Linked DNA regions of Neurospora crassa OR74A. The protein of the gene in region 2 purifies or fractionates together with the protein of the main gene of each other region. This does not show direct contact. Links are inferred from orthologs where the notes say so. Each region holds a gene or a part of one and is shown on either strand. Other genes may lie near its edges.

The links. Proteins that work in one complex are often made in the same cells at the same time.
Region 1: the proteins of crf8-1 (region 2) and ada-2 purify together in Saccharomyces cerevisiae (affinity purification with western blotting; 3 studies listed by BioGRID, with this or other methods). This does not show direct contact. The link is inferred for Neurospora crassa OR74A from reciprocal best matches to the Saccharomyces cerevisiae genes MOT1 and NCB2.

Annotation. Positions count from the first base shown.
Region 1 is NC_026501.1:1,662,119-1,665,816, reverse strand, and holds ada-2 (CBF/NF-Y family transcription factor), read right to left. Parts: upstream 2,816-3,698; 5' UTR 2,506-2,815; coding exon 2,484-2,505; intron 1,966-2,483; coding exon 1,939-1,965; intron 1,660-1,938; coding exon 1,400-1,659; intron 1,320-1,399; coding exon 1,212-1,319; 3' UTR 145-1,211; downstream 1-144. UniProt on the Saccharomyces cerevisiae protein: Component of the NC2 complex which represses RNA polymerase II transcription through binding to SPT15/TBP and thereby inhibiting the assembly of the preinitiation complex.
Region 2 is NC_026503.1:4,377,050-4,380,799, forward strand, and holds the start of crf8-1 (TBP associated factor), read right to left. Parts: upstream 2,192-3,750; 5' UTR 1,605-2,191; intron 1,347-1,604; exon of another isoform or gene 1,270-1,346; 5' UTR 1,140-1,269; intron 767-1,139; 5' UTR 708-766; coding exon 679-707; intron 603-678; coding exon 1-602. Other genes in the region: NCU07555 (hypothetical protein), read left to right, coding at 3,451-3,563. UniProt on the Saccharomyces cerevisiae protein: Regulates transcription in association with TATA binding protein (TBP). Removes TBP from the TATA box via its C-terminal ATPase activity. Both transcription activation and repression require its ATPase activity.

The sequences.
Region 1 (3,698 bases), on a different chromosome or scaffold from region 2:
TTGCTGCGGAAGCAGCATGAATGGGATGGCTTTTCTCCAAAAAGCCAGCCAAGCCACACCACGACACTTGTAGATACGCCTAGATTCCAATGAACGGTTCTCGTGGGCCGTTTTGGTTAATCATGAGATGAAAAGTAAAATACTGCACGCGCACCCCTTACAGCTTGAAAGTCTATTCTTGTTTCTCAACCTCAATTTGTCCTAATGGTGGTATTTGGGAGCCGGAAAGGCTCGGTAAGCTGGTCATGGTTGACACCCAGTTGCGATGAGGATGCAGACTCGGACTCATCTTCTTCAAATCCAAATATGGTAGCTTCATAATGCTCAAGCATATATGATCACCATACATGTCCCGCTCGCAACCAATTAACCATAACCCTCGCTGAATATTCCTACGAAAACAAGGAGGTTATGCCGACAACTTGACGCCGAGAACACCCCAAAGTTTGACCACACCTATCCATGTGTAAGGCGCACATCCAAGTAAGAATAATCCAGAACCCCCTGATCGGGTTTTCTCTTTCTCCAAGAGCCCTCCAACCCAATACAACGCGTACCAACTAAATTCCCAACCCCGATCTTCAACAAACACAAACTTAAAACCACGTAAATGCAAGGCTCTCTCTCTCTCTCTCTACTTTCGCTTCTTCCTCCAACTGTTCAGTACCAACCGACTTGCTTCCAGATTTCAACTATCGCTGTTCCCCACGCCTCAGCTTCGTTAGGCAAACCCGGACCTTTACTATCTGTCCGGAAGGAGTTCCGCCGAGACCTTGGGTTGCTCATTCCGACTGATGGTGACCACCTCTTGCTCATTGATATGCAATTCCACCGGTCGTACTAGCCAAGAAATGTAGCTAGCCCAGTCACTGTTCCCTTTTTCTTTGTTGTCCTCCTTCCTCTCGCTCAGATCTTGGTGGTCCTCATTCCCAACCGGCTTCGCCTTCTCAACCGTTTGTAGCCGGGCCTCTCCTTTCTGGTTCCGCTATGAGATGAGCTGTTCTGTATCGGCTTGAGGTTGCTGCTGCTGCTGCTTCCCGAGGCCGCCCCTTCCCACTTTTCGGCTGTTGCTCTGCATCGGCTTGATGCATCACCTTCTTCTTCTTTTTCTGCCTCTACTGCTTCCGAGGCGACCCCATCCGCTATTTCGGCTGTTGCTCGGGCACTGGTAGACGCACAAGCGTCGGCAACGCCGCGACTTTGCCCCCCTCTTAAGTATGTCGCGCCGCGGCGTCGGCAAACTGCTCCCGTTGGATTCGCTCGAGCTCTTCAAGTGATAGGCCGGACTGCTCGAACTTGTTTGCTTTCTTCTCTCGTCCCTGTTGTGTTGATGTGTGTTAGCTTCGCCAATGAAAACAAAGACACAACCGAACCTGGAGATAATAACCGTTCTAAGTACCTTTTGGACCTCCTTGTGCTCCGCAGCTGCCTCTAGGACGGCGGGGACGTAGTCGGCAAAACCGAGCCGCTCGAGCGCCTGCGTGATGTGATCACAAGCAATCGTCTTTTTCGACTCCTTCTCGGAAATCTCATTCGCCTCGGACGATACGAGCGAGATGAACTCAACGCAGAGATCAATAAGAAGATCCCGTGCTTCCTTGGCGAATGACAGGCCAGTCGACGATGGGAGGATCTCGCTCACAATCTTTTGAACCGTCGCTGTGTGGAAGGTTAGCTCCTACCCTTTGAAATCTTGCACAACCTTGAGCAACTGGCGCAGCTCCCGAGACGTAAAGACTTCTTTCTGCCTGGTGAAGGTGGTCCATCCGATATTCCGTTTGCTTGAGGATAGGCTTCCTTTAGCCAGAAGATACCGTCTCTACCAGCTCACCAAGCCGAAAAGTAGCCTTTGGTTCCCCCAACTGCTTGGCGTTATCCTCCACCACCACATCTCTCGATGATACGGCATCCCAGTATCCTGACTGAAAATTAACGTACCCTTGGGGAGTGAGAGATCATCATTGCCTACAGTAACCTTGTTAGTAAAAAGACATGATAAACCAGGAAAAGGAAAGAATCAAAAAGCAAGCTACTCGGAGGTGGTGAGACTCCAGAGCCAGAGACGATCCATGGCTCCGAAGCGTATGCATAACGGTATCCGGAATATTCGTCCATCTTGGCTGAATGATCGCCACATTTCTCGGTTGAGGAAGGGGTTGAGAGGGCTGTCGTACAAGAACATGTTGTTCATATACATAACACTTTTCCCTGCAGTATATTGTGGCATGCCTTTTCTTATTCACTCGAATTTCAACAATAGGTAGTGAAGAAGGAGTGGATGAAAGGGAGTGTTGTTGGTTTGGACTCATGAGGGAGATTCACTCCACTCAACTTGAGTGTAAGGCTGAGTGGCTTCATCATTGGGCCAACTCAACCGTGCCTAGGTGCAAGCAAATGGGCAATGGTCATCGAGGAACCCCTGCACCCCCCGACAAAAACGAAAACAGAAACATAACAAAAGGTTATACAGAGCGACAACGGACCTCCAAATTCGTGATCGGACATTTTGGCTGGTGGATAAACAAGAGCCTCCTACGTGGGTCGTCGTGGGATGGTGTATATTGATGCCTCGAGGGGTCGGATATCGACTAGGTATGTGGCTGATGATGCAAAACCCCCCAACTGCCTGGGCGAGTGATAACTCTCAAGATATGCGGCCGGTGTAATCAAAGTGTTTTGAAGTCTTTATGAGGTCGAGTGGCATGATGGTCAAGGGAGCCGAAGCTCCCTTTGAGCTCGGAGGTGCCACGGTGAGGATGGTTGCCTTTATACACACACATTGGCACCGCTCCCTTCACTCCAAACCCCAAGTGCGGCTGGCCTGGAAGCTGCCGCCAACGGCAACTGGGCGATTGGCCCTGGTTCATTGCGCGCACAGGGGCAACCATGGGTTTGTGGCGGAGTCGTACATAGAGGCGCACCAGCCACAGTTCCTCAATCATTCCAGGTTTGTCTGTGTGAGTGAATCAAACTGAATCGTCCGAGTCGTCTGGCGCGCGTTTGGAACCGCACACCCCCCGCCTCTCAGCTTTGTGAGGTCAATAGTTTGGTCACCTGGTCGCAACTGGTGAAGGAATGCCAAGTGTCACTGTCATCATCAGGCTCTGGCCCACTCGCAACAGTGAAGGCTCGGTGGACCCGTACCTTCCTCCCTTCCACTTGTGACCTGGGACCCCACCATAAATTTCTGCCGCCGAAATCGTTGTTCCGTTCGAGAAAATTTGGGGTCCATCCATCGCGTCGTTAACTTCTGTTTTCTTCAGCGTTTCCTTCCCTCACCCTTCTACTTTCTTTCAGTCGCGACACCATGCGCTTCCTTTGGGGCACGCAGGCAACTGCACTGTTTCCATGCTGGATCACTTGACTGGACCGCTCATTGTTACACCGAGCAATGTTCATGATAGGTAAGAACACCTTCCCCTTCTCCCCGCCAGCACAAGAACGCAGTGGTTTTGTGTTTCTATGAGGAGATTATTCGTGTCGCCCCTATCATACACAATTATGGTGATAGACACCGACAAGCCAAACGTCACTACTGATCGAAAACGAACTACTGTGTTTTTGTGTGTTCTGGAGTTTCAATCTCGTCAGCAAATTTGCTAACAGTTTCTCCCAGTGTCCAGCAATGGTTACCATAATCAGGTATGCCGTTTTCCTGCGGTCTTGTACCACATGGATTACTTTCGAGCCGACAACAT
Region 2 (3,750 bases):
TCTCACCGTTCTGAGTTTGGGCGGAACCGACACTGTCATGACGGCCGAAGCCATTAGCTGCAGCTGGATCGAGAGGGGTCGCAGGGCTGAGGATGGCGTCGTTAATGACGGGTATTTCTTCATCCTTAAACTCACGTCCAAGGAGACCCAGACGGCCGTTGAGCGTTCTTTTCTGATGGTTCAGCCGACTCTGTGGATCGAGAGCTGCAAGGCCCCAATCGCTTTTGTCGCCAATTCTGAGCAAGGACCTTCCGTACTTGAGAATGTTGATAACGTCCAGAGTCATAAGACTGAACTGCTCCTCCTCACTAAGAGAGAGCTTTGGGGGGCCCTCTTCTTTCTTGATGAAGCTATTGCTATCTTCATCTTTCATCGCCGCGTCGGGTTCCTCGTCCGCATTGGGATCATACTGCGGTGCATTTTCGATGATTTTGCCTATAGCCTTGGCAGCAGTTGATCTGGTTTCCCAGTCTTTGTGGCGCAAGTAGGGGACAACCCGAGAGAGTAGATTGAAAAGCTCATCGGGGTGTTCCTTTTGCCATGTGGCGAGCTGATCTACGGCAGCATCCCGAATCAGGCGAGTACTGCCCGTCTCGATAAGCCTACACGTGGAAATTGTTAGTCAAGTGTCCAGGAAAGAAAAAAAACACAAATCTCCAGAAAGTACAGAGTACTTACGTGACAAGGCGATCTAGCCGAGACGCCATCTCTTGTTCATGTCAGTAGACTGTGTTAATGTGATTAATAAGGGGTAATGGCCATGGCACTGCAAGATAGTTAGTATTATACCCTTCCAGCTTTGTCTAATCTTGGGATGGCGGAGCAGATTTGGAGGTTTTCTTGAAGTGTGCAAGGAGAGTTGAAAGACGAGGCAAGGGGTGAGGGGGAGGAGAACAATCAGGGGTAGTGGAACAAGAACGACAACAAAACAACAAGAGATGTTGACGAGGTGAACCCCCTGCCAAGACCCGAGAGGTGACTTGAGAGGGTTAGGGCAGATGCAGTCCACTCGATAATGAACCTCAAGGCCTCATGTGGTAATAAGGATTACAGAACACTGGTTCTGAACTCAAGTGATGTTACAGGAGGAGTGAGGCAAAAATGTGATGAGGTGTAAGGTGTACGGTATGTGAACATACCTTGGGAAGATCCACAGATATGGCAAAGCTGTAGTCCCAAATACACACACAAGGTTCACTCTCTTGTATGCGACGTGGGCGGCTGTGGTGGTGGGGTTGAGAGAAGAAAAAGAAGTTTCTACCAGAAGATCTAGGTAATATCAGGTTTTAGCCATTTGCGCCACATTGCTGGATCTGATCCCACAGTTGACGCATTGTGTGTGATGGTCCATGGTCATCGCCAAAGAAGCAAACAGAATGACAGGATGGGCAGTGTGAGAAGTGCAAAGAAGGAAGGGAATTGGATGGCATGACTCAAGCCAGACAGCGAGTGTGTTGAAGGGGCCAGTAACAATAACAACACTTGCTGCTGCGAGAAGCCAAAGGTAGAGAGATGACTGTGGTGGTGATGGTGGTGGTGGTGATGGTCGTGGTGATGAGATGATATGTGGGAGGAAAGAATGAAATATCAAGGTCAAGACTCACCGTCCAATGAATGGCTCAAGGTGAGCAAGGTGTGGTGGTGGGTGTCCCCGTTCAGCCAAAGGGAAGCAAGTCTCTTTAGTATGCAAGCCAACCAAGGTCGCCGGTACCTTGCGCTAGACAAACACACACACACGCACACACGCACCACACAACTGGAAGAACACACACGGTGCAACGGTGACTACTAGCGGCCGCCTAAGCTGGTCCGTGTGGTCCGTGTGGTCCGTGGAATTTTGGCGGGGGACGCAGTATCGAAGTAATATGTATGGAGGGGTCTGGACCAGGCGGTCAACTCCCGGTCTCGGCGTCTTGAAATACAAAAAAAGCAAGTAGCCAAGTATCGGAAGGTGGTGACGTTGAAGGGCAGGCAGGCAGGCAGGCAGGCAATTCGCAATGTGCGCTGCCTCTCTCAGGTGCTGTGCTTGTGCCTGTTCTGTTCAGTCACGGTGTCGCCCGGATTGGTGCTTGGTTGGAGTAGGTAACAGAGACGTCGGTCGGGTCGTGCACGTGCGGGCAGCAGGGCAGCAGGGCGCAGGTTGTAGTAGTAGGGCGTCGGATGGGCGATGGCGGGCAGTGGGAGGTTCGGGTGGAGGGCAGCGGCCTGTCTATAAAGAATATTGGTTAGTAAATTTATAGACAAGCCGGCACTTCCCAACGTTCCTCCCTTCTCAAATTTTAGCGCGATCCACGTCCGCCCATCGTACCCCTGCCATCCATGCGCCTCCCCAATTGCACCTCTTCGCCCCCAGTCAAGTGCGGCCCACCGCGGCCCCTGATTGGCTGTCTGCTCTCACGCCCCAGTTCGTTTCTCCAGTTAAGAAGGAAGGAGTGCTTTTGCTTTGAGCTTCATCACGTTTTGCCCTGAGCTTTGCCCTGTGGCCCTGCCATGTTTGGCCGTGGTGCACGGTCGAAAGGGCTTTTGCATTCTCGAACTTGACTTTTGATTCTTTTCCCTTTTCCCTTTCATTTCCTCACACGTCTGCCCAGTCCACCTCATCCATTCACTATGCTAACAGTAGGCTTCTATAAGTCGTTGCTGGAATTCCACCATCTCACCTATTGGCAAATTTCACCAGCTGAATGCACTTGGAGTCAAGTCGGATGACGGAGATGCGTTGCAAGTTGCCTGCCTGCCTTAACTCTTCGGGATAAAGCCCAGTGCGACCCAATGACGAATAGCCGGCAGAAAGGCTGCGCTGCAAAACACAGGAGACATAGGGCCTACGTCTGGCCCACCTAAGTGATCACTCCGCCATCACGGTCCGAGGCCTGGGCTGCCTACTTAGCTCTACAGCCGGAGTGGATGTCTTCCAGAACTCCCGCTCGGTCCAGTCACATATCGGAAGTCGTACACTTTTGTTTGCGTCCGGAAGTACTCCGGCCCTCGACCTCCCGTCCGTTTCCGGACCTGGGCTTGATATGACGACTCCCGATGACTGTCTTGACCTCACCTTTCCCGAGAAAGCCGACCTTTGTCCACGGGGTAAGCAGTCAAGTGCTGGTAAGCTTCTTGCTTCCCCCGCGCATCCAGGACTGGGCTCGTCTCGGTCTCGGCTTGGGTCAGCTGCAGAGCAACCTACGTAGTGGTAGGTATAAATATATAAACCCAGACCCCCGGGTCGGCTCGACCCGTCACTTTGCACATATGTTACTGTCCTGTGCAGGGTCACGATATCAAATGTGAGCACTCCACTTCGTACAGTCACTGTTCGTGGGGAAGCCATGGAAACAAGATCATCTATCTACCCGCGTCGGCTCGCTGTTGTCGATACTCGAAGATGTGCACAACCTTATAAAAAGTTTGTCTAGCTGTCATGGCGCGGCGCGAAACGAAAAAGAAGCCATGATGCGGTACACGGTAGTGCAGCATAAGCAAGCTGGCGACGCACCCCATGGTCCATCATCTGTCAAGCGTGTGCCTGATCCGTATCAAAGAGAGGCTTCGGCCGGCTTCTTGCTGTGAGACTCCGAAATCAGGAAAGCCGTATGATTGGGGATATCTCGGTACTGTGCCCTTGTTGGTGACTGTCTCGCCCGTCATGCATTCAGTTCGGATGTTGCCGCCGTCGCCGCCATCTTGTGACCAACAACACCAAGGTACTCGGGAAGCAACCTCAAATCGCAGAGCGGTAACGAGGGCACACCT